Struthio camelus: one gene and its partners. The protein of the gene in region 3 binds, or shares a complex with, the protein of the main gene of each other region. Links are inferred from orthologs where the notes say so. Each region holds a gene or a part of one and is shown on either strand. Other genes may lie near its edges. The genes, in order: TAF13, TADA2B, TAF4 and TAF3.

Region 1 (7,065 bases), on a different chromosome or scaffold from region 3:
AGGGCAAGTAAATTTGGGATAGGTGATCCCCATTTCCTAGGGAGAAATGAGAACAAGAGAGCTGTGTCCACTGAGGCAGAAGGAAAAAATGAGCTTCCTACCAGACTAAGAATACTTAATCGTTAGTGCTAAGAAATCCACATTATGCAACTTGTGTGAATTCGTCAGTGAATTTTAGTTACGAGGCCTGGCATGAGCTTAAGATGTTTTACTCAAAGAGCATATAGGGAGCAGGGACAGGGAAGAGAACAGAAATTCTAATGGTTTGTGCTCGAAGGCACAGTTTGTCCAGTTCTCCGAGATCCATTTTCTAGGTCTCCTGCGAAGGGAGCATCTAATAATGACTGAAACAGTTGGAAAGAATCAGTTCTCATTAACCCTCTAGATACCTGATAGAACACAGTCCTACTTCAAACACACTTGTCACCATTACAAGAACCTTTAGAGCTCACTTTCACACTTCTTGAGTTTTATAAAATGGTATAAAAATACCTAAGTATACCACATACAGTCAGATAAAATTAGAAGGCTTCGATACTTCTTTGTAAAGGCCGAGAGCCAAGGCAGACATCCCAGCACTGATCTCCATCCTGGAAAAAAAACCTCCAACAAATACATACTAATTCCTTGCTTTTGGGAAGAAGGTGCCCAAGCTGTGCCGCGTGCACAGAAGATCAAGATCCATAGTTTGCCTCATCAAAGGCCTTTCTGGCCCGCTTCAGTTCTTCATTCATAGTCAGGAGGTCCTTAACTCTGGCAAACTTCCGGGGGTCCTTGCGGATTAGAAAGACAATGTCCTCAACCTGTACACGACCCTGCCGCCCAATTGACATGGCCTTGTGCGTCTGTCAGAGGAAGAAGCAAAAGTTACCAGTGTGCCTTTGACCCTGACTTATTTTTTTCAACTCTCAATTCCATTTTATTCCTTGTCACTTTATAAGCCAAAGGTAAGCAATTTCAGGATCTGGGCACCATCATCCTACTCACAGACACACTCCCGAGTGCACTCCTGTGAACTTTTTGTCAGTCTACTATTCCCAGCTCCTTGACACCTACACCTGGTATGTGCCGTTATACATACAGGATCTTAATGACATCAAAACTAAAGCCATGCTACACATAGGGGAGACCAAACCTGCAGAGCGCTTGAGAAAGAACAGCATCAAGGCGAATTTGCATGCAAAAGACAACACCAAATCTGAGGACAGTTTAGGCATTTTCATAAGTGAAGGCAAGGCCAACCTTTCAAGAGAAACAGGATTTTCAAACAGCAGGAAAGACTTGAGTAAAAAAACAAAAAACAAAAAACCCTCAAACAGCATCCAAACAGCAGGATCAGTGATTGCTTAAGGCAGCAGAACCTTGTATTCGTTTTGTGGGACAGAATTGCTTTCCCATCCTTGTAAAAAAACTGAGCAAACACAAAAGTAGATCAACTTTCAAAGTTGACCCTCATCTTCTGTCAGCTGTATACGCAGTGATGCCACAGTGGGCTACAAAGTCAGCTGTGCCTGTAAAATATCAGTCTAACTGCCCCTTACAGATGAAGGCCCTGTTCCAAATCCACATGGAGCAAAATGCATTAGTTTCCACTGAATCTTCGAAGCGCAAAGGCTAACGTGGGATTCTTCCTACTAGCATCAGAGTTGTTGGCCTGGGCTAATCCAGTTGGGTTAGAAGTATTAGCCTACAGAAAATTAAAATCTTAATGAGGATCTTCGAATCTGATTTAACACCTTTAGAAAACAAATTCATCCCTTTTCGTTGAGATATGTTCTGCTAGGAACATCCTATCCTCTGTCCAATCGTGGTGTAATAATCGGTGCATCTGAAATACTAGCAAGAGCTGTTTTTTTGATCGTGACATCTAAATTTGACTTACCATTTCTGTGATGAACTCTATTACCAGATCCTCGAGAATATCCACTGATTCTGTGTAAGGGTTCTGGTCATCCCCAAATCCATACATCATGCATCTTACTGCAGAAAGAAATACTCAGCATGATCCTCCTCTTATTTTTTTTCTGGTCATTCAGCACAGCCAGCAGCATGCCTCTAGTGCTTTAGGCTTACTAGTCTACAAGTTCATGCAGCAGGACGGCATTCCTGACTGCTGGCCAGGACAATTCTTTGGGGAGCTTATGGGAAATAAAACAGACAGAACCCAGCAAGAGCGTAGCACATACGCAGACAAATGCATCTGATGACAGGCTCTTTAAAATGCATTTAGGCTATCAACTACGGGGCATTGCATCGCTGTATGGCTTTTGCCGTTGATAGGCTCAGATGACGCATTAGCAGCAACGTTCTGTCGTATATGACGGCTTTCTCCGCTTTGAGCACGGGTAGGGAATGAAAGCCGTTGTTTTGTTAATGAAGACAACGAGTTTCAAAACTCTACAGCTCCCTAAGACTTGCCGACATCTCTGCAAGAGGTATGCCGTTCGTAAAAGCCACGGCTGGCGCTGCAGCGAGCGACCGGTGCCAGCCGCCGCCGGGCGCAGGCTAGCGGCTCTGGCTTGCACTCACGTTCTTTGGAGAAGAGCCTCTTCCTCCTGCCTTGCCCCCCGTCCAGGCCTCCGCCCGCCTCCTCGGCGTCTTCCTCAAACTGCGGAAAGGCACATTGGGGGGGGGGGGGGGGGGAGAGGGCGCAGTCAGAGCGGGGCCGGGCCGCAGCGCCGCCGGCGGGGGCGCAGGCCAGCCCGGCAGCACCGGGCCGCAGCAGCCATGTCACCGGCTCTGCGGGAGCCCCGGGCGGCGCCCGCACTGAGCAGAGGCGGCCGAAGGCCCCGCACAAAAGCCGGGCACGCCGCCGCCGCTGGCCCGCCCGCGGCCCCGGCGCCCGCGGCTCACCGGCGCGTCCTCCTCCTCGTCGGCCATGGCTGCCGCGCGCCGCTTCCGCTCGGGCCGGCCGAGCTTCCGCCGCCCGGGCCGCGCCTGGGGGCCGCCATCTTGGCGTACGGCGCGGGCGCCGCCCCGAACGGAGCCCGGGGAGGGTCACGCGCCGCAAGGGGGCACTGAAAGGCGGCGGCGCCTCGCTGCTCGTACGCCTGACGGCGCGGGCAGACGCTTGGCGGTGTCAGGCAGCGGCCCCAGTAGGTCCTCCGGCTGGCGATTACCGTGTCCGCAAGCCGCCGGCTTTCTCCGGCTTCGGGGCGTCCCCCGTGGGGGGCCTCTGAAGGGCCGGGCGGGCAGAGCAGCGCAGCCGGGCCCCCTGCAGCGTCGCAGCCGCGACTTGCCGGGCTCCCGCCAGGTTCCCGCGTGCACGTCTGCACGGGGAGCTGCTGCGCTCTGAACGCTCCCCGGACTCCTGCCAGTGTCCGCAACGGTCAGCGGAGGGGCAAGGACTCCGGGGGCTCGTAGGCATAACTTGCATTGCCCTTTATAAAGTAAGACCGAGGAGCTAAAGCGGCAGGAGTAGCAGGCTGACCGTAGTGAGCAGATGTGTCTCAGCGCGGGAGTTAAGACGTGTACCCCTCTTTCCGTTGATGTCTATGCAGGACTGGAAGTTGGCGCTCTGAAGGAGGAAGCTACCCGAATGCAACACGCTGAGCGTAATCAGTATTACACAGCTGCAAACATAAGATAAACCATGAGAAAAATTAACTCTGGGCAAGCTCTATCAGCAAGCTCACCAAGGAGCTAGAGCTGGAGCAAAAGTAGTATATGATGAGGAGCTGAAGTATGCTAAAAGCAAAGAGCTGGAGAGTGAAACTGCTGGCGGCTTTCAAGAGAAGCAATCAGATGGTCTCACCGCTCTTGACAGCGAGGATACAAACCCAAAAGGAAAACATGCATGTCACGAGCCCTAGAACGAGGGAAGCACAGGAATGGATGTTCAGTCTTTTCAGTTAAGTCTCTCCTTTTCACAACTCTCAAGACTTCATAGATCGAAGCACAATTGGCCGAGTATCACAAAACAGCTCTGCAACCGAAGCTAATTCCCACAAGCGTGGCAGTTACCCACAGCCACAACTTTTAAGTTAAATTTAACCCAGAGGATGGAGTTGACTCTCTCATCAGAAGCAGGCCTCAAATCAGCGTGGCGTGTTCTGGCAACTCCTGTGTGCACCGCTCAAGGCCTGCTGTAATTGAGCGTTTCGTGAAGAACGCAGCAGCGGCATCTAGAAGTCCTGGCTGTGGCAGTCCTTCCTTGTCCAGGTGCCAAGCACAGCTCAGCATGACCTCCCCTCAGCCAGAGAACAAGCAGAACGTGAACCCTATGTCCTCTTTCACTGTCTTTGTAGTAATCCTTGACTTCTGTAGACATCTAAACAAACAATGCTTTTTTTCTTTTTTAATAAGATAGGTCTTATGCTGTTAGCCCAAACTAGGCTAACGATGTCAGAGAAAGGAGAGACAAAGGGGCCAGAGATAAGTTGCTGAACTGATTTTAATGAAATCCCATTTCTTGAAGATGAATACAAAGGTAGTAGAGAACAGAACTGCTCTAAAACCATTGAAAGAAGTTTGGAAGATGGATGAACTTCTCCCACAGAAGCTTTAGGTAGTTTTATTGTTGTTGTTGTTGTTTTTAATTACTGTGTTTGTGGTAGGAAGGGGGCCTCTTGAAAGACTGAGTTGAAATCCTGCACTACCTCATCGTACAACCTCCTGTATGACTGTAGAAGTGGGCCCAACAGTCCAAGGCCCCACAGTGAAGGAGCTGCTGAGCCTGTTCGAGACGCCATGAACAACCTTGAGGTCATGAACTTCTGTTTAACACAGCACACACATTGTTGCTTAGTATCTATCACATAGGATAGCCACTTCTTGTTAAAAGATTTTTTTTTTTAAACGTACTGCTATCCTCCCAGTTCAGATGCACTCTTCCTGCAATCTAATCTCATTAACAAAGCAGTTACAGTTTGAGAAAGGATACTGGCTGGCAGTTTGCAGCACAGGCTCTTCAATTAGAGCTGAGGCCTTTAGAATTACAGACTAGATTGATGCTTTTGAAAGATGCTGGTTTTATTTTTTTTAAACAAAAGATTATGCCTGAAACGTTGACCTGCACCTATTCCATCTATCCTTATACTGCTGCACTTCCCCCCGTGGAAGCATCACATGGGCTGGTTTGCTCTGGAGCACTTTAGGATTGGAGGTGAAATATTGAGAATTACAGGTGTGATCTCTGCTTAGGTGTGCAAACCAGAGATCCACCTCTTTCTATTGCATTCATCACACACTGCCGCTTCCTACACATATGGGGAAATAAGCCCTATCTCACGTCTAATCTGTGAGTTAAAAGAAATTCCATAATAAAGCAAAACACTAGAAATACCACCTTCTAACTCTCGAGTGGTTTATGGAAGAATTACTCTTTCATGAGGTTTAAACACTTGATGTAAGTAACGCTGACAACCGTATACATACCTTTGGCAATCCTAATACTCAACAAGACAGTGTCAGAGTTTGACATCAGCACTTAATAGCTTTGATCTAAATTTTCGTGTATGATTACTGCTATTAAGACAGTCCCCTTTTCTGACTCTTTCTGATATTGTAACTACCCAGCTTCGGTCTCCCCAGGATGGGTGCTGGGTGCTGTTAGCTGGATACAGCTGTTGTGGGACAAAGTTTTGCCAGCTGTTACAGTGCTTGCAAAGAATACGGGGCCTCACTATTGTGCTTCAGCTCCCAGTGTAGAACAGATGCATAAAACAAACAACATGTCTCATCTCTGGCAGTTCAGAGTACAGCTGCAGAACTTCATGCTGGAAGGTAAATGCAGCACTGACCGATGATAAAGTGCAGGAGGAGACAGCTCCCCTAGGTGTCATTCATTTATCTCACTCTGTTCCAAGCCAACAGTAATCGAAAGGTAGATCCCATTAAAGATGTGTCCTTTCGTTCATCCACCTAGAACAGGGACAACTTGGTGTATACAAGTAAGGCACGCTATCACACTGCACCTGTTGAATGCATGAGGCAGAGGAGTTACACAATGCAGCTTCCCAGCCAGATCTCTCCTAAAAACACCTTCACAAATTAAGTGCTGGCCATTTCTACTCCAGACAGTCTTACAGCAGGTAGTGAAATAAGTTGAGACTGGTGAACTTCTCAATGTCATTCAATTCAAGTTGGCAAGCGTGGCTTGTTTAATATTAAGAGCTATAACTTTTCTTTTCTAAACTAAATGCCTTTTTATTAATCAGATTACTAGACTGTCTCTAATATCCTAAATACAGCAGAATTTAGGCATGCAGTAGTAGCTTTCTGAACAGTTAGCTGGAGAGAGAGAGAGGAAATGCTGTATTAAAACCTAGCTCCTCTGTAGAGTAGGTTCTCTTTGTTTTTCCCTTCTTGGCACAATCACATAGGTTTTATAAAACCATTTGATAATAAAGTGCATTCCATTGCAGCGCAAATTTCCTGAATGAGTTTATTAAACAAAAAGCTTATCCTTACAAATATTAATTTAACCAAAACCTTAGACAAATTTATCCAAAATATAAGTTCCAGTATTTCAGGTTATTAAAAAAAAAAAAAAAAGCCAGATTTGGTACCTTTTGTTCTGGATGTGCCAAGCAGATCAGGAACCAGTCTTTTTAGTTGGTCTCTGCAACAGGCAGGTTTCCAGTAACATGGGCTATGAAACACCTTAGCAAGTGAACACCTGAAAACTCCAGAGAACTATGGAAACAAAGGTGTGTACATTCAGTGCCTGATCACTGCTGCATCTTGGACTAATATAACCAAACTCAGCCACTGGGTACATTACATTACATCCCCCATAGTGCAGTACAACTTTGATAAAGCAAAAACTTCAGCTACGTAAGCAAACACTTAAGGGTTGCTACTGTCACATAACTCCAAACTACGCTACTGTACGAAACGACCACAAGCACGTAAGCAGGTGCCTGACAAAGCCCGCTGTCACACAGCATAGGTACGGCTGCCCCTCTCAGCCCAAAGGCCAAAGGAAGAAGCAGCCTTGAAAACTGAACTCCACTCACTTGCAGAGGATGTGGAAGAAGGAAAGGGCAGTTACCACAAGCAGCCCACCCTCCATCCTTGGGGCACAGAAAAGTATCGCCTCTGGGACAGATGGACCCATTTCAG
Region 2 (7,036 bases), on a different chromosome or scaffold from region 3:
CTGTAATCATTCTGCAAAACTGTAAAGATCTTAAAAGAATATATTCAATTGCTACTACATGACTGGAATAAAGAATAAAAAATGATTGATCTCTTCAGACTGCCATTCCACCATGATAAAAGAACAAGATTTAAGCCTTCAACAGCATAATACTTACTTTAATTATTTATGTCCTTTAAAGAGCCAGGCAATTCAGAAAAGCTAGTTCAGAGGTCATTTAAAAAGAACAATGTAAGGAAATAGCTTTATATAAAGTTTATCTATGCTTGTATCCCCATGTAAATGCCCTCTGTAATTTGTGTCCTCCTTTTTAATATATATGCAACTAGAACCAACAACTCAAACCCAGCTTGACAGTACTACATCCCTCAGGATGGGATTCGAACCTGTCACAGAAAACCAAAAGATTTAAATTCCTGCTCTTTGCCAGTGGGACCTGTGTACATAGGCTGCTTGCTGCCTTTGAACACTTGAATATGGTCCTCAGTACTTAACTCAGACTACCAAAAATGACACTAAAGCATCACAGTCTACCTAAGAAAGTAGTGGTATTTTTGTTGGTTAATTGATTTCTGTGCTTTTCTAGGTAGGATTTATTCAATAATTGAGCGCATCAGCTAGTGATGGCCTGTAAGGAGCCCACTAAGGTTGAGTTCCCCTCAGTAGAGAACATACTAAATCAGAGCTCCAGTACTTTGCTGGCTTTTCTAAGATATTTCCATATTCTGGATGTCATCTGATGCTTTTTACGAAATTAATACTACAACTGAGGTATCAAGTGCTGCAGGATGCAGAACAGTGCCGTAGTCATTGATTGCCACAAGCCACATGGGAATTAATAGTTGAAGAACATTTATGTTATTTTGAAAGGGAAGCTGTGCACAGGAACCAAAGTTCTGTGGGCTGCGGAGTCATAAAGGTGTTAAGTTCTGCCTCTCCCTCCCCTCTTCCTCAGTCTTTTTTTTCCTGGAATTGTGATACACTACACTTGGGTAGTGCTGAAAGGGCTTACACCACTCTGTGCATCTTCACACACCGGGAACGAGGGCAAGGCCAACAACCCCCTAACATTGCAGAAGTTGAAAGACAGAAGAAAAAAAAAAACAAAAAACTAGTTTTGAATGATAATATGTCTGTATGCATCTGAACCGCAGATCCTGAAGAATAGGAATTCTTAAAGTAATAAATCTTCCTTTTGTGCACCAACAAATTTTGCAGGCAGTTATATTTAAAGAATGAGTAAGTAATTTAGTGCTTTAGTGTAGTGGCTGTATGTAAACCATGTCAAGTTTCAGTAATAAACTTCTCTTTAGGTCTCAGTCACATCTATGGGAATTAACCCTTACGACGTGCCTAGAAGGCATGTATGTTTATTTTACAGATAAAGAGTTGATCCTGAATTCTAAAAGCCAGATGGAGGCTCCCAGAATCAAGATTTGAAGTAGAATATGTTTGCTTAGTGCTCTGCTTAAAGAACATTGCCATGGCCTTAAAGGACTGAATGCTGAGATGTATTTTTAGCAGTCTAAGCTTTTGAATGCGTGTGAGGTTTTTTTTTTTAATGAGTTTAGCAAGTTTTTATGTAGTTTCATTCAAAATAAGTAGCTCCACTGTAATCTCTCTACTGAATGCATAGCGCTAATATGGAATTTAGGAAAGACTTTCTAGGCGTACATGTGATGCATTCCCCTGGACTTAAAAAATTACAGAAAACTCCTTGGTTTATATCTTTTTCCTGCTTTCTTTTCCTCAGTCGGCCTCAGCAAGGTAAAAAGGACCTAGCTTCCTTGATCTTTTTCTGAATTCCCTTGCATGTAAGGATCAGATCAGCATGGTGACATTTCAGGATTTCTAATCGCTGGCTTAACAACTTTACGGTATCCACCTTTTCCTCAAAGTCCCGAAGCAACGTCTCGTTTCCAAGCAGCCCACATTTCTGCTGCAATTTCAAATTGTCTATCCGCAACCTGTCTCTGGCCTGCTTTGTTCTGGTCAGAAGGTCTCTCTTCTGTGACAAGATGGCCTCAATGTCCATCAGTTCAGCCTTTCTCCCTTGATTCTCAGCTTCCACAAACTGTAGTTTTTCCTTGAACTGGCTGAGAATTTGCACCGTATCAGAGATCTTCTTTTGGAGCTTCTGCAGTTCATCACTGAGGTCGTCAATCCTTTCACTGTATTTCTGATTCTCTTTCTTCAGCTGCTCAAAGTCTATAAAACATACTCCGTCTGTCCTTTCTCCCTGGGCTTTCAAGACCAATTCAAGCTTTTGGATTTCATGCTTCAGCTTGATGTTTTCCACACGGGCCTGGATGAACAGGAAAAAAAAAAAAGATTTATTTTAATCCCTTGTCTTGCCAAAGAAGAACATTGCAAAGTAGGTAACAGCAATTAAAAAAAAAAAACTTCAAAGGGAGAAAAATATCTAGCATCTGCTGCTGTTCTTTAACATGAAGTGGTAGATATTAGCCTTTGTTGTCCCGGAAGGCAAGCCCCCTATCTGTAAGACGAGCAAAAGGCAAATCCTTTCGCCAAGAGTCAGGCAGCCGGCCAGGGCCTCACCTCGCTCACTTCTTCTTCTTTGAGCCGCTCCGCCGCCTGGATGCGCTCCACCGCCGCCGCCGCCGCCGCCCGGCCGCCCAGCCGCCGGCCCAGGGCGCACACGGCCGCCTCCTTCTTGCGCGCCTGGAAGGCGGCCCACGCCGCCTCGGCCCGCGCCCGCCGCCGCCCGCAGCCGCGCCGCTGCGCCGCCTCCCGCTGCCGGCAGCCGGCCGCCGCCTCCTCCCGCCGCTCGCGCAGCGCCTGCAGCGCCCGCAGCTGCTCGGCGTAGCGCTGCTCGCCGCCGCCCCCCGCCGCCGCCGCCTCCCGCCGCGGCTCCTCGCCCTTCCGCAGCCGCAGCAGCTGGCCCAGCCGCAGCTGCAGGCGGCAGCTGGCCTGCCGCAGCCGCTCCCGCTCGCTCGCCAGCTCCCGCTGCTCCTCCAGCAGCGCCGCCCGCACCTGCGGGTCTTCCTCCTCCTCCTCCTCCGCCTCCTCCTCCTCCTCCTCGGAGCCGCGCTCCGCCCCCGCCAGCGGCTCCCCCTCGCTGCCCCGCCGCTCCGCCTCGGCCGCCCCCCCCTCGGCCCCTCGGCCGCCCACGGGGCGCTCCCGCTCTCCTCCCTCATCCTCCTCCTTCTCCTCGCCGCCCGCCGCCGGCCGCGGCTCCGCCGGCACCTCCGGCTCCGAGGGCCCCGGCTCCGCCGGCACCTGCGGCTGCGGCTGCTCAGGCCCCGGCTCGCCCGACACCCGCGGCTCCGAGGGCCCCGGCTCCGCCGGTCCCGCCGGCTCCGAGCGCCCCGGCTCGCCCGGCCCCTGCGGGTCCTTCGGCCCCGGCTCCTCCAGTCCCGCCGGCTCCGAGCGCCCCAGCTCGGCCGGCACCTCCGGCTGCAGCTGCTCAGGCCCCGCGTCCTCCGGTCCCGCCGGCCCCAGCTCCTCCGGCTGCGGGTCCTTCGGCCCCGGCCCCTCGGGCCCCGCCGGCTCCCCCGGCCCCTCGGGCCCCGGCCCCTCGGACCCCGCCGGCTCCCCCGGCCCTGGCCCCTCGGGCCCCGCCGGCTCCCCCGGCCCCTCGGACCCCGCCGGCTGCCCCGGCCCCTCGGGCCCCGCCAGCCCCGGCTCCTCCATTCCCGCCGGCTCCTCCATGCCGGCTGTTTACCCGCTTCCCCCGTTGCTCGGGCAACAAGATTCGGCTCCGCCTGCCAGCAGGAGGCCCCGCCCCGCCCCGGGAGCCGTTCTGTCACGCCCCCTCCCCTTAGGCCGCCACTCAGCGACGGGGTCGCTCGGGTTCGCTTTTCCGATTGGCTGCGAGAAAGGAAGCCGGGTTCCGCTTGGCCAATCCCAGCCGCTTAGCCCTGTTAACCCCCCCTGCGCCCAGCAGCGCGGGTCCCATTGGGCAGGGGGCCGAGGGGCGGGCCGAGCCCGTCAGCTGTATTGGCCGCCGGGCGCGCGGCGCCGCCCGCCGGGCGCGCTGCCATTGGCGATGGCGGCGCGGGGGCGTGGCGGCGCGTGCGCGCGGCGGCGCGGCGGGCGGGGTAAGATGGCGGAACTGGGGAAGAAGTACTGCGTGTACTGCCTGGCCGAGGTGAGCTCGCTGCGCTTCCGCTGCACGGAGTGCGCCGACATCGAGCTCTGCCCCGACTGCTTCTCGGCGGGCGCCGAGATCGGGCCGCACCGCCGATGGCACGGCTACCAGCTCGTCGACGGCGGCCGCTTCACCCTGTGGGGCGCCGAGGCCGAGGGCGGCTGGAGCAGCCGCGAGGAGCAGCTGCTGCTGGACGCCATCGAGCAGTTCGGCTTCGGCAACTGGGTAAGGGGCGGCGGGGGCGGCAGGGGAGGGGGCGGCGGGGCTCGGCGCCCTCCCCCGGCCTGGGGGGCCCGGCGGACCGCGGCGGCGCCGGCTGCCGCGGCCCCGGAGCGCTGGCGCGTCGGTGCCCCCCGGAGAGCGGCCCGCCCAGACGCAGCTCGCCGGAGTGGCAGCTGCCTTAAATCCGAGCGCCGTCTTCCCCTCCGTCCCGCTGGCGTTGCGGAGCTCGTTTTGTCCCCTCTTCTTCCCAGTGTGCAGCTCCTTGCCCCGGCGTGTCGCAGCGGTAAGGCCCCTGTTTGTCCTCTGTGCTAGCGCACGACCAGGGCTGTTCAGAAGGAGTGAAAAGCACAGTGAAGCAGCTCGAGCTCTCCTTGTCGAAGGAGGCGCTTCTCTCTTGTAAGAAGTGTCATCGTTTGAGTCGCTACTTGTTGCTTTGTTTCCTTTCGTTTCGGTAAATGTAAGGAATCTCTTCCGTGTGAAGATCTTTGTGTTTGTGACGGCTGTAACTTTTTCTTCTAAACAACACCCAGAAGAGAGCTGGAAACGATCTTATTTCTATATTGCTTAAAGTACTTTGGCAACACTGTAAACGAGGAAAACACCAATGACGTGGTAGTATCAGTACTGACTTGGGATTTGTCTGTTGAAAAGTACGACTTTGTGGACTTCCTCCTGGTAGTAAGCTAACTTGCGACCAGTAAAGACTCGGGGCTTGCCATGTGGATTTAGCATCTCAGTGGTGTTCCTGTGAAATTGGAGATCTGATACAGCTTACTTTATTGATGTTGCTATGCCCGTTTCATGGCCTAAGTGCCGCTTGTAAATATTTATCTACACCTGAAAATCCAGATCGGATGGGTGTGTGGCAAATGCCAATATTACTAGGAAAGTTAAGGTATTGTGTGTTGGCTTTTGAGGGGCGGGGAAGAAGTCGTACTCTTAACTGAATGCACCCTACCCTGGAGATGTAACAGCAACCATTCTGTCACTCCTCCTTGTTTTCCATTTAGGAGGACATGGCTGCTCACGTGGGAGCCTCCCGAACGCCTCAGGAGGTGATGGAGCACTACGTGAGCATGTACATCCATGGCAATCTTGGCAAAGCCTGCATCCCTGACACTATTCCGAACAGAGTAACAGATCACACGTGTCCAAGTGGTGGCCCGCTTTCTCCTAGCTTGACCACGCCGCTCCCACCATTGGATATATCAGTGGCAGAACAGCAACAGTTGGGGTATATGCCGCTTCGGGATGACTATGAGATTGAATATGATCAAGATGCTGAAACTCTGATCAGTGGCCTTTCAGTGAACTATGATGATGATGATGTGGAAATAGAGTTGAAAAGAGCTCACGTAGATATGTACGTAAGAAAACTGAAGGAGAGGCAACGGCGGAAGAACATTGCCCGTGATTATAACCTGGTACCTGCCTTCCTGGGGAAGGATAAAAAGGACAAGGAGAAAGCTCCCAAACGAAAGATCACAAAAGAAGAGAAGGAGCTGAGGCTGAAACTGAGGCCTCTGTATCAGTTTATGTCTTGTAAGGAGTTTGAAGACTTCTTTGAGAACATGCACAAAGAGAGAATGCTCCGAGCAAAGATTCGGGAACTGCAGCGGTATCGTCGAAATGGAATCACCAAAATGGAAGAGTCAGCAGAGTATGAGGCAGCGAGACATAAACGGGAAAAGAGAAAGGAGAACAAAAACATAGCTGGCTCCAAGAGAGGGAAGGAAGATGGTAAAGAAGGTGAATTTGCTGCCATCGAAAACCTGCCTGGGTTTGAACTGTTATCGGACAGAGAAAAGGTGCTCTGCAGCTCTCTAAATTTGAGTCCTGCACGTTACGTGACTGTGAAAACTATAATCATTAAAGACCATCTCCAAAAAAGACAAGGAATCCCTTCAAAGAGTCGCCTTCCCAGTTACTTAGATAAGGTATTGAAGAAAAGAATTTTAAACTTTCTAACAGAAAGTGGTTGGATATCCAGGGATGCTTCATGAAATTCAGCTGATCTGAAAAAAACACATCCAAGGTGCATTATGGCCTCAAGGACAGTATTCATGGCCCATGGTTCACATGGATTCTTGCTTTGGATCATGGCAAATACTGAAAAATACTTATTCGTGCATTTCATTGGTTTTGGTACATTATTAGAACAGATCTCTTCCTCATGTAAACTTATTCAAGTCCAGTAGGCACAGAGTAGTTACTCTACTCCTGTTGGACAAACGAATATCAGTGTAATCCTTGCTTTTTTGAAGGCGGGAGACAGTTTCTAGCAAGCGAAACTTTAATCTCCTTTCGTTTTGTTTTTGACATAACGCTGGCAGCAAAGTGAGGCTCACAAAAATCCTGAGCTCTTGAGCAATATTAAACAGGGATTTTTGTGAACATTACTAAGCTTTCAGAACACTTTCCTTAATAACTACAGCCAAGGCGTTGGCAGAACAGTATGAGAGTTTCTGTAGAGGTTGCTGCAGGGATGAGCCATGACAGGGAATAGAAACCAACAAATGTGAGAGAGAAGATGCCTTCAGGTACTGATGCTGTGGAAAGCTTCTCTACCTTCACACCCCACTGATCCTGAGGTAGATTTGACTTGATTTTTTTTTTTTTTTCCTGATACAGGCCCTCACTGGAAGCTTCAGTGTTAACTAAATTAGTAGCAAGCTGCAGAAGCTCAAAGCAACTGTGGTGCTC
Region 3 (7,071 bases):
TTAAAACAGAAATAGGCGTGCTGTAGAATACAGAGGACATGCTGGGTAGATGAGGGGAGAGCAGTGGATGTTGTCTCCCTGGACTTCAGCAAGGCTTTTGACACTGTCTCCCATCACATCCTCCTAGGTAAGCTCAGGAAGTGTGGGCTAGATGAGTGCATAGTGAGGTGGACTGAGAACTAGCTGAATGGCAGAGCTCAGAGGGTTGTGGTGAATGGCACAGTCTAGTTGGAGGCCTGTAGCTAGCTGTGTCCCCCAGGGGTCAGTCCTGGGCCCGGTCTTGTTCAACTTATTCATCAATGACCTGGAGGAAGGGACAGAGTGCACCCTCAGCTAGTTTGCTGATGATACTAAACCGGGGGGAGTGGCTGACACAGCAGAAGGCTGTGCTGCCATTCAGAGGGACCCGGACAGGCTGGAGAGCTGGGCGGAGAGGAACCTCATGAAGTTCAACATAGGCAAGTGCAGGGTCCTGCACCTAGGCAGGAATAATCCCATGCACCAGTACAGGCTGGGGGTTGACCTGCTGGAAAGCAGCTCTGCTGAGAAGGACCTGGGAGTCCTGGTGGGCAACAAGTTAACCGTGAGGCAGCAATGTGCCCTTGTGGCCAAGAAGGCCAATGGTCTCCTGGGGTGCCTTAGGCAGAGTGTTGCCAGCAGGCCGAGGGAGGTGATCCTGCCCCTCTCCTCAGCCCTGGTGAGGCCTCACCTGGAGCACTGTGTCCAATTCTGGACTCCCCGGTACAAGACACACATGGCACTACTGGAGAGAGTCCAGCGAAGGGCTACCAGGATGATGAGGGGACTGGAGCATCTCTCCTGTGAAGAAAGGCTGCGAGAGCTGGGCCTGTTCAGCCTGGAGAAGAGAAGACAGAGGTGACCTGATCAATGTGTACAAGGATCTGAAGGGGGGGGTTGTCGAGAGGATGAGGCCAGTCTCTTCTCCATGGTGCCAAGTGACAGGGCAAGAGGCAACAGGCACAAACTGCAACACAGGAAGTTCCATCTGGACCTGAGGAAAAACTTTTTTCCTGTGAGGGTGACAGAGCACTGGAGCAGGTTGCCCAGAGAGGTGGTGGAGTCTCCTTCGCTGGAGATATTCAAAACCCACCTGGACGCGATCCTGGGAAATATGTTCTAGAGGACCCTGCTCGAGCAGGGGGGTTGGACTAGATGATTTCCAGAGGTCCCTTCCAACCTCGGCCATTCTGTGAGAAAGAATCCCAACCCTGAGGAATCACATATAGAAAATTACTTCCAATGGTAAACAAGAGACAGATAAGTGTGAAAAGATAAAGTATTTAGTAATGTATCCTGCACACTTACAATGTGCAAGTGGTAATGCATCTCGGTTGTTCTTGTAATTTTGTAAGGTTGCTTACCTGATGTGGTAGATATTGCCATATGGTATACTAGAGAGAGTGTCAGAACAAGGACATAAAGATTTCTAGACTTTTTTTTCTACTTTGGTATGCAACTGTAAACTACATTCCAGTTGTCCTAGAAAACTAGCAGGAGAAGAATATAGCCTGCTCTGATCCTTTATGTTAGCTGCTACTGCCCTTTGATAATTTAATCCATCTCTGATGTCACCATCTCTCTTTTTTCATCACTTTTCCTGGCACTGCAGCCCAACTTTGCACTATACTCCTGTTGAGATGCTGTGAAAGAAAGACTTGCAGTGACTCTGTCACCCTTGGGCTGTTTCCGCTGAATTCTAGCTGTTTACCTCAATAACCGATTTGAGCAGCTGTAGACTAACTCTCTGTTTTGGGGATCTGAACAGACTTCTATTCTAGATAGCTCTTTGGTATGTAGCTTATAGAATTTAATCGTGGCCAAAAACTAGCAATGTGCTTGACTGTAGCAGCGACAAATTCACAGGCACCACTGTGCTTGACAAAGCATTCTTGCATTGTAAGAAATGGGCCACACGACCTACAACATCAGTAAAATTGCAGCTACTTTAAGCATTATAATTTGGTCAGAATGGATGAAGTGGAAGTTAAAAGTTATAGAGAGGAAAAGGGCATTTTCTTTGCTTCTCTCCCTTGAATTTTGAGCGATGACCGAGAAAAGCTTTGAGAAGTATAGAAGGCTTGAGAACAAGAATAATTTAACAAAGATTAATTTTATAACTTCTCAGAGGAGCTAGGCCGTCCCTCCTAGCGATGTGTCCTTTTGAAGCGATTAGAGCCTCAGGAAGGGCTAGCTGTTGTAATTCCAACTCACCCTGCAGAAGGCTACTGCAGGTGAGAAGAGGACACAAGTAACTAGAACTGCAAATCCCTCAGTATAAGCAGTTTTCTAAAACTTTCAAGTTATTACACTACTATTTGAGGCCCATACATTAAGAACAAAATACCTATCTGATTTTGTTTTTTCTTTGAGCTTTTTGCAAAGAGTTTCTCTCATGTGGGAACATTCACAGATTTGGGGGCAGGGTAAGATATGGGACAGCATTTCAGTATTTTTCCCCATCATTTAGGACAGCTAGTGGACATGATTTACAGCTAATAACATGATTTACTTCACGTTACAGCAGTGCAAGTGATCACCACAAATCTGTAAATATAAGAAGCACTGACGCCCAACTTTAGGCAAACCTAAGTAAAGAATACTTTGTCTCTGACCTATTTCAAGCAATCCAGTCTCACAGAAAACTTGCAGCTCTTATTCTTACCAGTCTCCATCTTTGCAGTCTTAAGTCAGCTATCAGGACAGTAAATTCTAGACATTATTAAGGAACGCATTAGCAGGTGCCGAGTCTGATCCCACTGCAACACAACTCCAGTCTTTAATTGCACCCATTCCCAGTACATCAGAGCAAAACTCATCATACTGCAATAAGAAGCGTTATCATGCTAAACCTGATTCCTCTTTAAAAACGACCTGCCACGATTTGTCCGTCAGTATTGTTCCAGCCGTTCGGTAGCCTTGAGAAACAGCGCCTAGCAAAAGAAAATATTAAAAGGCGGGTTGCATTTTTACTTCAAGTGTATTTACTTCCTTTAGGATGGTTGCACAACGAGGTCAAAGTGCAGTTTCCTACTGTAAGAGCGGCGCTCACGAAGTCCCGCGTACCTGCAGCCCGCGCCCAGCGCGCCCCGCCGCCGCGGTTCCCCTTCAGCTGCTCTTGGCTCTTGCGCAGCTGTAACGCCTCGGCTTTCCCCGAAGGGTTAAGCGGCAGCGGGGGCGTTAACGCGCGCGGGCGCGCCGGGATGGCCCCAGCGCAGCAGCCCCCCGCCTGACGCTGTCGGGCTCCGAGCGGGGAGTGGACTATTTAAAATAGTAACCTCCCTCTTTCATTTTTTGTTTGTCCCCGGCGCCGAAAGCCGAGCTCCCCTCCCGGGCTTGCGCTCCGTCGGGGCTGGCCGCCAACCCCTCCGCGGCCCGGCCCGGCCCGCCGTGCTGAGTCAGGCTGCTCGGGCCGGGGGGGCGGGGAGGGGCGCCGGGCCCCCGCTGCGAGCCGCGGCTCCCGCCCCGCGCCCCGGCTACCTGCCGCCGGCACCCGGCGGCGGCGGGGGCGGCCCGGGCCGGCAGCGCTGCGGCTCCGCCTGCGGCGCAGCGAGGCGCGGGGGCCGCCGCCGCCGCCCCCCCTCCCCTCCCCTCCCGCCCGCCCGGCGGATCAGTTACACGCAGCTGGCACAGGTGTGCGGCGCCGGCGAGGGAGACCCGGGCGCAGGGAGCAGCGGGCAGACATGCAGCCATTTTGGGCCGAGGCAGACAAAGAGGCGCGGCCGCCGCCCCCCTCCTTCCCGCCTCTCCTCCCCCCGCCCCCCTCCGCGTCGCGCCTCGCCCCGTCGCGCCTCGGCCGGCCGGCCGCACCGCCCGCCCCCGCCCGCCACAGCCGCCGCGCCCCGCCACCGCGTCGCGGCCGGGCCGCTGCCGCCCGACTCCCAACTAAGAGCTCGCAGCCATTTGCCCTGCCTTTTATACCCGGCCGGCGGCCAATCAGCGGCGAGCGGAATCCCTCTCCGGCCGGTGATGTGAGGCGAGGCGGCTGCGCCTGCGCAGTAAGGGGGGCCGAGTGTGTGGGGGGGGGTGGGGGGAGGGAGGGAGGAGTGAAAGGGGAGGGGGGGGAGGAGGGAGCAGCTCACAGGAACCCTCCAAAAAAAAGATGGCGGCGGGCTCGGATCTGCTGGATGAGGTTTTCCTGAACACGGAGGTGGATGAGAAGGTGGTGAGCGACCTGGTGGGCTCCCTGGAGTCCCAGCTGGCGGCCTCCGGCCACCACCACCAGCACCACAAGGCGCAGGAGCCCCTGAGGGCCGCTGGGGGGCTGCTGGGGAACCATGTTGTGAGCAGCAGCAGTAGCAGCAGCAGCCCTAGCCCTAGCCCTGGAGGAGTAGTAGTAGGAGGCAATGCTAATGTCCAAACAGAGAGCAGCAGCAGCAGCAAGATGGGACTCAGTGCCCCAGAGATCACAAAAGCAGGTAACATGGGCAGGGGTGGGGGGCTCGGAGGGGAGAGGGGGCCTCCCCTCCCCCCACTGCCCGGCTCCGGCTGCCTCCTTCCCTCACTGCTTTTTTTCCCCCCCTTTTTCCCCTCTCTCCTCCGTCTTGTTGTGGCAGGAGCCGGAGTGCAAAGGGTGGTATCGATCATACGGGGGAGAGCCTCCCCTCATCATGCCCCCTCGGTGTGTATCCGTGCCTGTGCTCCCTCCCCTTTATTTTCCCTCCTCGCTCCTGCTTACTAGAGGATGTTTTATCATGTGTGGGGGCAGTATCCCTACATCATAACCCGTCAGTGCCTGCCTGTGACTCTGTCGGTCCCCCTCTTCTTTTTCTGCCCTTGTTGCTGGAGTGTAAAAGGCTCTATTAATCTTGGGGTTGAGGGAGGCAGAGCCCACCCCCTCGGTGCTGCCTGTCCCTCACATGCCATCTGTGACTGATCCCCTTCCTTTTCCAGGGGTGGAGGTTATGGGGGGGGATTCCCTCTTAATAACGCCTGCTTAGCTGTCTGTGTAAATGCTCCTTCCCCTCCCCCTTCGCTGTTGCTGAAGTGCAAGGGGGTGTTATTAATCATGACACCTATTTCCTGTATAGGAGGAAGCGAGGGGGGATTTCAAGGGGAGGAAGTCCCTCAAAATGCTTCCCCCCCCCATATCTGTCTGCCTGGATATGCCTCCCCCACCCCCTCCCTTGTTCCTGGGGCTTGGAGGGGGCATTCAACACCTCTCATTCCCCCTCTGCCCTCAAGGGGGTGTTGTCACAACATTAGGTCCCAGGAAGGGGGGGGAATTCAGGCCATAACACCCCACCTTGTACAATGTCTTCCCCCACCCCCCCGCCCCCCAGCATCTACCTGTGACTGTTCCCTCCCTTCATGTTGTGAAGGCTGTAGGGGGATGGTATTAATCACAGCCTTAAGGGTTCCCTCCATGAGAATGGAGGGAAGCTTTTTTTCAGGGGAATAAAAAAAAAAAATGTCTCCCCAGAATCTCTCTGCAATTCCTCCCCTCCCCCCCTTTTTGCTTTCTTTCTTTCTTCTTGCTGAAGTGTAAGAAGATATTACAGACCTTCTGTCATGATTAATGAAGCTCTTCTAGGAGGATCTCCTTAACCCTTATGAGATGCATCTCAGTATCTGTCTGTCACTATTCTTTCCCCATTTCTGTCTCCTTAGGGCCAGGACCCAGGCTGTCTGTGATTGTACTAGTGATAACACCAGGCCTCATCAAGGGGCGTGAGGATTATTCAGGACAAGAAGCTACATCACCTTATCCTTTCTCAAAATCAGCCTTGCTTTTTATTTATTTATTTTTAACCATCTCTGGCTGTGGGAACTTCAGAGCCAGAAGAATAAATTTTGTAATAAGGTGGAGAGGTCTTCTTATAACCTGCTCCAGACCTTATACTACTCCTTATCTTGGCCGGCTGGTGTTTTTCTTTTCCTTCACTTTTTTTGCATCTTGCTGTTGTTGAGCTTCCTGCTCTAACTGACTTAACGTTGTAGCAGATGAGAGGATTAGGGCGTAACTTGCTGGGCATAGGGAATGTGCCTTATTAATGTGTCTTCCAATGCTATTTTTTTTCCTCTTGTTGGTGCAGGCATGCTGCTAAACATAATATCAGGCTCTAGAATGGGGAAGAGGTCTAAAGAGAAGATCTCCTTCCTCCTTCCTTCCTTCACTTCATAGCAAATCTGTTTTCCCTGTTTTATCTTACTGTGGTGATGAAGGTGGGAGTGTTGCAATTAATATTGAATCCACCAGTCTCTAGTGGGAAACTGGAGGCTTCAAGATAACGTCTTTAAATCCTTCTTCAGTTTATACTCTGTTCCATTTTCTTGGCAGGCAGTTTGGGAGATGAAGAAGACTTGGTGGTGAGGGAGAACATTCTGTCTTCGTTGGATTTCTCCTGCTCGTTCTGTCTTTTTAACCTTGTTGTTGTTGTTGCAGGAGCAGGAGGAGTGCAAGGAGGCGTTATTAATCATAACACCAGGTCCCAGAGCTCAACTCTGGATGGAGGCACCACAACGAGCACCAGCACCACCACTGCAGCAGCAGGAGGATCTGAAGTTACTGCTGCTCCAGGGACCCTCAGTCAGGGCAAATCGGTGGTTATCAGCACGATGGCAACTGCCTTGTCCACCAGGAATGGCAAGATTGGGACCACAACAGTGCAAACTTTGAATGGGAGTAATGTGGTGATGAACTCTCACCACACAGGAAGTGCTGCTTTCTCCGGGACTCCTGTGACTGCTAACCCTGCTTCTGCACCTGCTGTTGCCCCTCTAGTTAACAATGGACCTGGATCTGTCGGAAAAGGAAATACTGTTAATGCTGTTTTGCCATCAGCTTCCAACACTGTCATCCAGACTTCTTTCCTTAATACTGCTGTGTCGTCTGCATCTTCTTCCTCACCCACAGTTATTTCCTCGCAGCCACCACCGAGCATTGGAAGTGGGGGGCCTACGGTAACGCTTGTGAGGCCACCAATTCACACAGCAGGACCCACAGTAGCTGCAGCTGGTGCAGCCACTCAAAATGGGAGCAATACTGTGATCAATTCAACCATCAGTGTGGGGAGTTTTCCTGCTGTTGCTACAGCCACTGTGGGATCTGGA
Region 4 (6,865 bases), on a different chromosome or scaffold from region 3:
GGAAGTGGGCAGGGGGTTTGTAGAAGAGAGATGAAGAAAGTGTAAATTGTGTTGAATATCAAAGCAACCTTCCGAGTATGACCTGAGGGACAAGCGTGAACAACCACTTGCTTGCTCGAGCTGCTGTTGGGTTGAGATGGACATAAGTCAGCTAGTCTAGAAAGCATATAATCAAGTGCTGAACTTGAGCTAATATGCTTTCTCAAAGGCACCGTGTTAACTTCATAAAGTGATGTACTGTTGCTATCCTACAGCTTTCAATGTGCTGTCTTTATGTGAGGTTGAATCCTTGGAGAGGATTTGTTACATACTTTGAAGAATCTTTTAATGACTACTTTTAAGAACTATTAACTTTTAAGGAACTAAGGTTCTAATGCTAGGGTTAGTCACACAACCGAAGTTGGTGACTGCTTGGAATGGGTGAATTTGGGAAGCTCTAAAATGTGGAAACACAAACTAGCCACTGGATACAGAGGTGGCCGTTATCCTAATGGAGGAGTTCCTTGATTTATGCAATTCTCAGCTTAAGGCCTTGATCCTGTAATTCTTTAGGAATAATCTATCTAAGCTGTGGGGAAAAAACTGCTTTGACACTGTGAACCTTTGCGGTAATCCGGATGATTTACATTCTACTTTTCCCTGGTAAATGTTTCCGTTCTCTGTTATATGAAATTACATTCCTGACTGGAAAGCCATCACCTCTCTAAGTGATTTCCAGGGAGTGGAGGGGAATGCAGTTCCTACCATGTGTGTGACCTGATGGCATATGCACAACATCATCAAGGTGTGTATCTGTGTAAGGCCAAGGCTTTCCAGCAGCATTGTATTGCCCCAGATTTTTGTCCAGATGGCGTTTCTGTGGCTACCCAGCCTGCTGTCACTACCTTGCATGCCCTCCTGTTTCTGTGCAAGAACCCATGCCTGCCTTCTGCCCAGTCTGCTCGCAGTGAAGAATGCAGTGTGCTACTGATACAGTGAATCCGATAGGTGACTATCAGTTTCTTGCATCCCAGCTGTTCCCTTTAAGTAAGGGAGGAAGGGATGACATGCTTGTGTAAAGCTGAGCATTACGGGGGCTGTTCTGGTTTGAAACAAGGTGGAGACTGCCGCTTGGTGCACAGCGGCTGACGCAGCAGTTCTGCCCAGTCAGCTGGGTCCATCGGGCACCCTGAAGAAGTAAAACAGCCCCTTTGCCTTTCCCAGCCCATCTGATTGTTCCACTCCTCCTCCCCCATACGTCACATCCTTTAATTCCCGTCAGCTACGCAAGGAAATACTTTCCATAACCCTCAAACCTGTCTTCCCTTCTCCCTCTTTCAAGACTCAGCCTGGGTGCTTAGTCTGAGCGAGGTCAAGGTTCCCAGCTGGGGCCCTGAGACATACTCACAGCCTGCCGTCTCCTTTTGTGAGTTCCCCTTGCCTAGGAGGCTGGGTTTCTGCTCGGGCCGCTCTGCAGCAAGACTTGGCCTTGTCCCTGGATACCACGCTTTGCCTTGTGCTTTAGCCGAGCATCTTCCCGGAATCCTAACTGCTCTCTGAATCCATTCCTTGCTGTGAAATACTTAATAGGTAAAGGTTAATATGTGTGTAGAGCAAGGATTAAGCTGTTTCTCCTTTTTATTGGAGAAAGTGGGCATGTGATTTTAGAGGAATTCAGATACTTTGGTGCTAAGATCTCTGGATTTTGGAATCACAGTGAAAAGATGAAACAGCAGCCCAATGTCAAAATTTCTATTCTGGCATGGTGCATTAAATACTTTCTTAGGTACCTAAGGAGTAGTATGTCCACGCAGGGAAGAACTTTCAAATCCCTGCAGTGAATGCTTGGTTCCCCTGGAGGCTTTTATAGCATTCTTACTTGCTCTCAACTTTCTGTCACTCAGACGTGATCATCTTAGCATTCATATACACATTTTTTTTTGGTTACTTCTCTGGACTGAATGATGTTTCCAGTGTCATGTTCCATTGCAGAGGTTTTTATGGATTTCATTACAGAACAATTGCTGCTAGGAGCCGTGCAACTCGGTAATGGTTTGGGGAATTGAACTTGGAAGCCCAGGTCCTTCAAACTAAACAGCAGGAACCATGGAGATAGGCTCTTTTTCTCAGCTTGTTACAGTACAAGCAATCTTTTGTCACCGTTGAGCTCATCCAGTTAGTGTGATATGCTATATGGAGCGGTCTGAACTGCTCAAGTGGGGCAGCTCATGAATCAGGAACCACCGTGCCTAATAAATCCTGTGCTTTTCCTTTCATTGCAGTCAGCCCATGTTCCAGGAAGAGCCCAGGAAACACAAGTCATGTTACTGCGAATATTTGGTAGCATCAGTCCATGGTAATTCCCCTAAGAATACTTCTGAAGTTTACAAAAGGAGGTCTGTGTATTTGCAGCTTTTCTGAACACTCAGAAAATACGTTTCTAAGATGGCAAACGTGCTGCCTGTTCAGGAACTCCCCAAAGCGGCTTGACAGACTGAAGAGAGCAAGCAAAGATCATTCACCTTTCAGTGAACTAATTAGTGAACTAATTAACAGAACTAGTATTTACAGTTGTCTTTCATACTGTCATTAGTTACACACAATTATTGAGTTACAATTTATTATTAAGTGCTATTAATTACACACAACAGTTTTAACAGTTCTGTTGCCCTTTATACTACCTCCTGCACCCCCATGGGGGTGCAATACTATCACCCTTTTCCATACCCATTTAAACTTCTTCATTTAGACCGTTATTAGACGGATTTTTATACCTTAACTGTCTTTTTTTCATTTCTGGACCCTCCTTTTTGCCAGTATTGTACCATCCCTTCCCTGCCCAGCCTCTTCCTGAAGAAACAACCTGCTTGTAAATCCTTCATCCCTGTGGGTCCCAGCTTTGCTCTATCCACACCCAAATTTGGTGTTTATTTCTAATAGAGTTACCCAGGCAACCTTGGCCTTACACATGGCTTCCGTGGCTGCCTACGTACAGGTGGCCTTGGCAAGGTTTTACTCCCCAAAAGATCCCAGAAATTCCTCTTCTGAGTCCTGGGATCCTTCTCGGTACATATTGTTCATTTTGCACACATTTCTGAGACAAGTTCTGGTTCCTCCACCTAGTTCCAAATAAATTCAAGCACTTGCTTATCTTAAGGGCAACAACCCCCACGCCAGAGCGAGGTTACGTGCTTTTTCCCCCCCGCACACTTTTTGCGGGGGCTCACACAGCATCCTGCTCTCCCTTGGCTGCTTCATTACACATCACCGGCCTTAACGTGGCTCTTTTGGATCATCTCCCGCTTCCCCCCACCCCAGTCTTGTCAAGCCTCCCTACAGGCCTTCGGGGCGCTCAAGTCCGTTTCGGTTTAAAGCATCTCGACGAGGCTCCCTTCCTGCGCCCCGGTGGTCGGGGGGTTCTCCCCCATTCCTTTAAAATCACCTATAAAAAAAGCAGAAGGGAAGGTGTCATTCCAGACGGTCAGCTTCGGCGGCAAGGCCCCTGCAGCAAGCACCCGCTGCCGGCGGGTCCCCTCAGCCCGAGGCGGCGTGAGGCGACAAACGTCTTTTACAACCGACAAGCGGCGCGCAGCTTTAGGGCCCGCCGCGCTGGCTGACACGGCCGCGACCGCCCTCCTCCTCCTCCGCGCAGCCCAAACCCATCCGAAAAGGCTTCGCCTCGGCTGGGCGGACCAGAATTTCCCGCTTTCTACGCGATTTTTGAGGTGGTTTTGGGACGACGCGCTCCGGCCACACGGCGCTGAGGCCCCAACCGCCTCCTCCCCCCGCTCTCACCACCTCCTCAGAGCAAGGAGGGGAGGGAGGATGGCCGAGCGGTCGAGGGCGCTCGATGCGCTCGGCGCTGCAGCCGCGCGGCCTGGCGGCGGGGAGGCGCGACGCCAAGATGGCGGCGGCGGCGGCTGTGGCGGCGGCGGCGGCGGGTTGTGCGTGAGCTTCGCCTCGGCCCTGGCGGCGCCCAGCCGGCCGGCATGTGCGAGACCTACTCGCGTTGGTTGCTGCGGGTATCGGTGGCGCAGATTTGCCAGGCCTTGGGTTGGGATTCGGTGCAGGTCTCGGCCTGCGACCTCCTCACCGACGTGCTGCAGCGGTACCTGCAGGGGCTGGGCCGGGGCTGCCACCGCTACTGCGAGCTCTGTGAGTGCCGGGGCGGCGGGCTGGGCTGGGCTGAGGGGGCCGGGGGTCGGGGGCGGAGAGGAGAGGGCACGGAGAAGGAGCGTGGGGGGCTGTGGGGCAGTGGCGGGGGCCGAGAGGAGCGGGAAGGGAGCCGTGGGTCCGAGGTGGCGCCCCCACGGGAGCGGTGGGCCGGGGGTGTGGGGTGCGGTGAAGTCACGGGGCAGCGGGTCTGGGGTGCAGGCGTGAGAGGGCAGTGAGTGTCCGCTGTGGGGCAAGGGGGAAACAGCGGGGGTGAGGCACTAGGAGTGGGGTGCTGTATGTGCACATAGGGGGAAGCGGGGCAGTTGGGAGCGGGTCTGGGGTGGGGATGGGGGGGGAGATGGGGCTGCTGCCCCACTTCTTTGGCTGTAGTGTGCAGGGTGTGTGTTGGGGGGGTGTACAGGAGGAGAGGACGGGCCTGTTGGTCCCGTTGCTGGGGCTGTAGTGTGCTGGGGTGGGTGTGCGGAGAGGGGACACAGGGGACCGGTCCCGGGTGGGAGGCTGCTGTCCCAGGCCATCTCAGCGTCAGCAGGTGCGCACTGGGGGAAGTCGGGGGGCTGCAGTCCCCACGGCCACTTTGGGGCCTGGGGCTGCCATTTACGCCAGGTTTGGGCTGTGTGAAGGGCCAGGGGGTTGGGGGGTGTTAACCCCGTGGTGGGGCCGCAGTGAGCGCGCTGGCGGGGAGCGTAAGCAGTGAAGGGTTGGAGCTGCCGTGCGCGGCGTGGAGCCCATATTAAAGGACCACGGGGCCCCATATATTAAGCTGTGGGGGAGGGGTGTGCAGTGGGAAGTGATGGTGTGTATGGGGGGAGTGGGGGAGTGCGGTGTGTGAGGTCGGGGGTGTGCTTGTGTGTCTTGGTGGGGGATGGAGCTGTAATGCCCACACCGTGGGATGTGCACAGGGCGAGTGATGGGGCTGAAGTGTCTGAGGTATGGGGGTTTGTAGGTGGGAAAGAAAACGGACAGAGCTGGAGATCTTTTTAGTGCGCGTGGTATGAGGTACGTTGGAGACGTGCGCCTGGGGGTTGGACAAAGCAAATTTCTGTGCCCCTTCTGAATCTGAGAGGGGGAGGGGGTAGGGGAAACGGAGATGTGGGTATCAGTGCTGGTGGAGTGGTGGATGAGGTGGTGCTGTGGCGGCTGTTGAGCAGGATTTGGACTGTTGTAACACTCCATAAATACTGCAGGGGAGATGGAGTGCGGTGCATAGTGGAGAGGCTGGGGGAGCGAGGGTGCCCTGTAGGAGTGGAGATAGGCTGTGTGTGCACATGGGAACCAGGGCTGCTTGCGCCTCTTGAGATCTTAAACGGGACCAGGGAAGCAGGGAGTCCTGGAGCCTAGGATCAGGAGTGCTGTTGCCAACTGCGTCAGTGTGGAAGATATTTCAAGGAGCCCTAACAGGATTGGGATCGGGAGTACACTCCTCTTGCAAAGCAGGCAGTGTATGTGGAGGGTTGGAGGGATTTGGGGAACCAACTGCTGCCTGCATAAAGAGGAAAGGAGGAAAGCCTCAGGAGGGAGGAGGGTCGCTTGACCACCACCTGCTCAAGGAGAGCAGGGAATTTGGGGAGACTTGGGCACGGAGATTGGACTGCCGTGCTGCTCTTGTCTGCTTCTGAAGTGCTTGGGGCCTGGGGACGACTCTCTGGGGTCTGGAACCGTGTGATGAGGCCGTGTTAGAGACTGCATCTGCTTGGCCTGCAGCGTGCTCTGAGTTTGGGTTGCTGAAGGGAATGTGGAGAGACTGAGGGGGGCAGGTTTCTTGTTACCACTTCCTTCAGCATGCTGCGGGGCTGTGGGCTGTCACTGCTCTGCGTGCATGTATATATTTATAGAGAGAGAAGTCCGGGATAGCCCCGAAACAGAGGTCAGAGTTGCTATGCTGTTGGATGTCAGCATGGAAGACATTTAGAAGAGTAGAGGGTTGGGGGTTAGGGTGGATGATGTGGTGCTTGCCTGAAGAGCTGGATATGGAGAGGGTGACTTCCTAGGAAAGGATTTGTGGCTATGACAAGCCACCACCAGTGCTTGTGGGAGAAGTAACAGGGATGGCAGCTCTGAACAACTGAGAACTTTGCTACCACTTCCACCCCAGTTGTGTGGATGTGGGCTCTGTGCTAATCAGGGCTCATGTGGATGAGGGGGATACTGAGGACACACTGCAGCTCCAGGTGGTAGCTGCAGCTTCGAGATCAGAGGAGCTTTGAAGGGTGGAGGTGTTGGCTTCCTCGGCAGGAGTGAATTTGGAGGGTGTGTGGGACGAAGGACCGTGTGCCAGGAGGGAACGCTCAGCGTGATAAGCATAGTCAAGAGAGGAGCAGCCTTGGCCTGGCAGTGCTGCTTGTTGTCGTGTCTGTTCTCTGAGGCAGAAGTTTTCATTGCTGCAGTGAGCCCCAGTAAAGCATGGTGATGATCTGAACATACCTGATACCTGGCTCTGCCTCAGCTTGTTGAATCCAGGAATAATCAAGATCTAGTCTGAGTCTGTCACTGCCTGTTTATCTGAGCCCAAGCTTGGCTGCCTCTGCCACGGCTAGGAGGAAAAGATGCATAGACGGTGGAAATACAGTTTTTTTTTTTTTCCTCTCAGTGCTTAAGGAATTGGAAGTGCTTACTGAAAGCTGGTAGAAATAAAATATCCCTCTCTTGCTTTGAGGGTGCTTAGAGATAGTGGAGAAGGGAAGTTTTGCCCCCCCCCGGTGAATGGAAAAGG

The links.
Region 1: TAF4 (region 3) and TAF13 share a complex: the UniProt entries of both Homo sapiens proteins name them as parts of the TFIID basal transcription factor complex. The link is inferred for Struthio camelus from reciprocal best matches to the Homo sapiens genes TAF4 and TAF13.
Region 2: TAF4 (region 3) and TADA2B share a complex: the UniProt entries of both Homo sapiens proteins name them as parts of the TFTC-HAT complex. The link is inferred for Struthio camelus from reciprocal best matches to the Homo sapiens genes TAF4 and TADA2B.
Region 4: TAF4 (region 3) and TAF3 share a complex: the UniProt entries of both Homo sapiens proteins name them as parts of the TFIID basal transcription factor complex. The link is inferred for Struthio camelus from reciprocal best matches to the Homo sapiens genes TAF4 and TAF3.

The regions. Positions count from the first base shown.
Region 1 is NC_090942.1:96,845,897-96,852,961, forward strand, and holds the start of TAF13 (transcription initiation factor TFIID subunit 13), read right to left. Parts: upstream 3,010-7,065; 5' UTR 2,881-3,009; coding exon 2,854-2,880; intron 2,609-2,853; coding exon 2,530-2,608; intron 1,981-2,529; coding exon 1,883-1,980; intron 846-1,882; coding exon 675-845; 3' UTR 1-674. Other genes in the region: GTPBP8 (GTP-binding protein 8), read right to left, coding at 6,552-6,636. UniProt on the Homo sapiens protein: The TFIID basal transcription factor complex plays a major role in the initiation of RNA polymerase II (Pol II)-dependent transcription.
Region 2 is NC_090945.1:74,308,812-74,315,847, forward strand, and holds the start of TADA2B (transcriptional adapter 2-beta), read left to right. Parts: upstream 1-4,036; 5' UTR 4,037-4,066; coding exon 4,067-4,336; intron 4,337-5,343; coding exon 5,344-6,336; 3' UTR 6,337-7,036. Other genes in the region: CFAP184 (cilia- and flagella-associated protein 184), read right to left, coding at 1,760-2,305, 2,560-3,471, 3,583-3,672. UniProt on the Homo sapiens protein: Coactivates PAX5-dependent transcription together with either SMARCA4 or GCN5L2.
Region 3 is NC_090959.1:15,331,235-15,338,305, reverse strand, and holds the start of TAF4 (transcription initiation factor TFIID subunit 4), read left to right. Parts: upstream 1-4,052; 5' UTR 4,053-4,120; coding exon 4,121-4,436; intron 4,437-6,403; coding exon 6,404-7,071. UniProt on the Homo sapiens protein: The TFIID basal transcription factor complex plays a major role in the initiation of RNA polymerase II (Pol II)-dependent transcription.
Region 4 is NC_090942.1:5,344,313-5,351,177, forward strand, and holds the start of TAF3 (transcription initiation factor TFIID subunit 3), read left to right. Parts: upstream 1-3,851; 5' UTR 3,852-3,968; coding exon 3,969-4,134; intron 4,135-6,865. UniProt on the Homo sapiens protein: The TFIID basal transcription factor complex plays a major role in the initiation of RNA polymerase II (Pol II)-dependent transcription.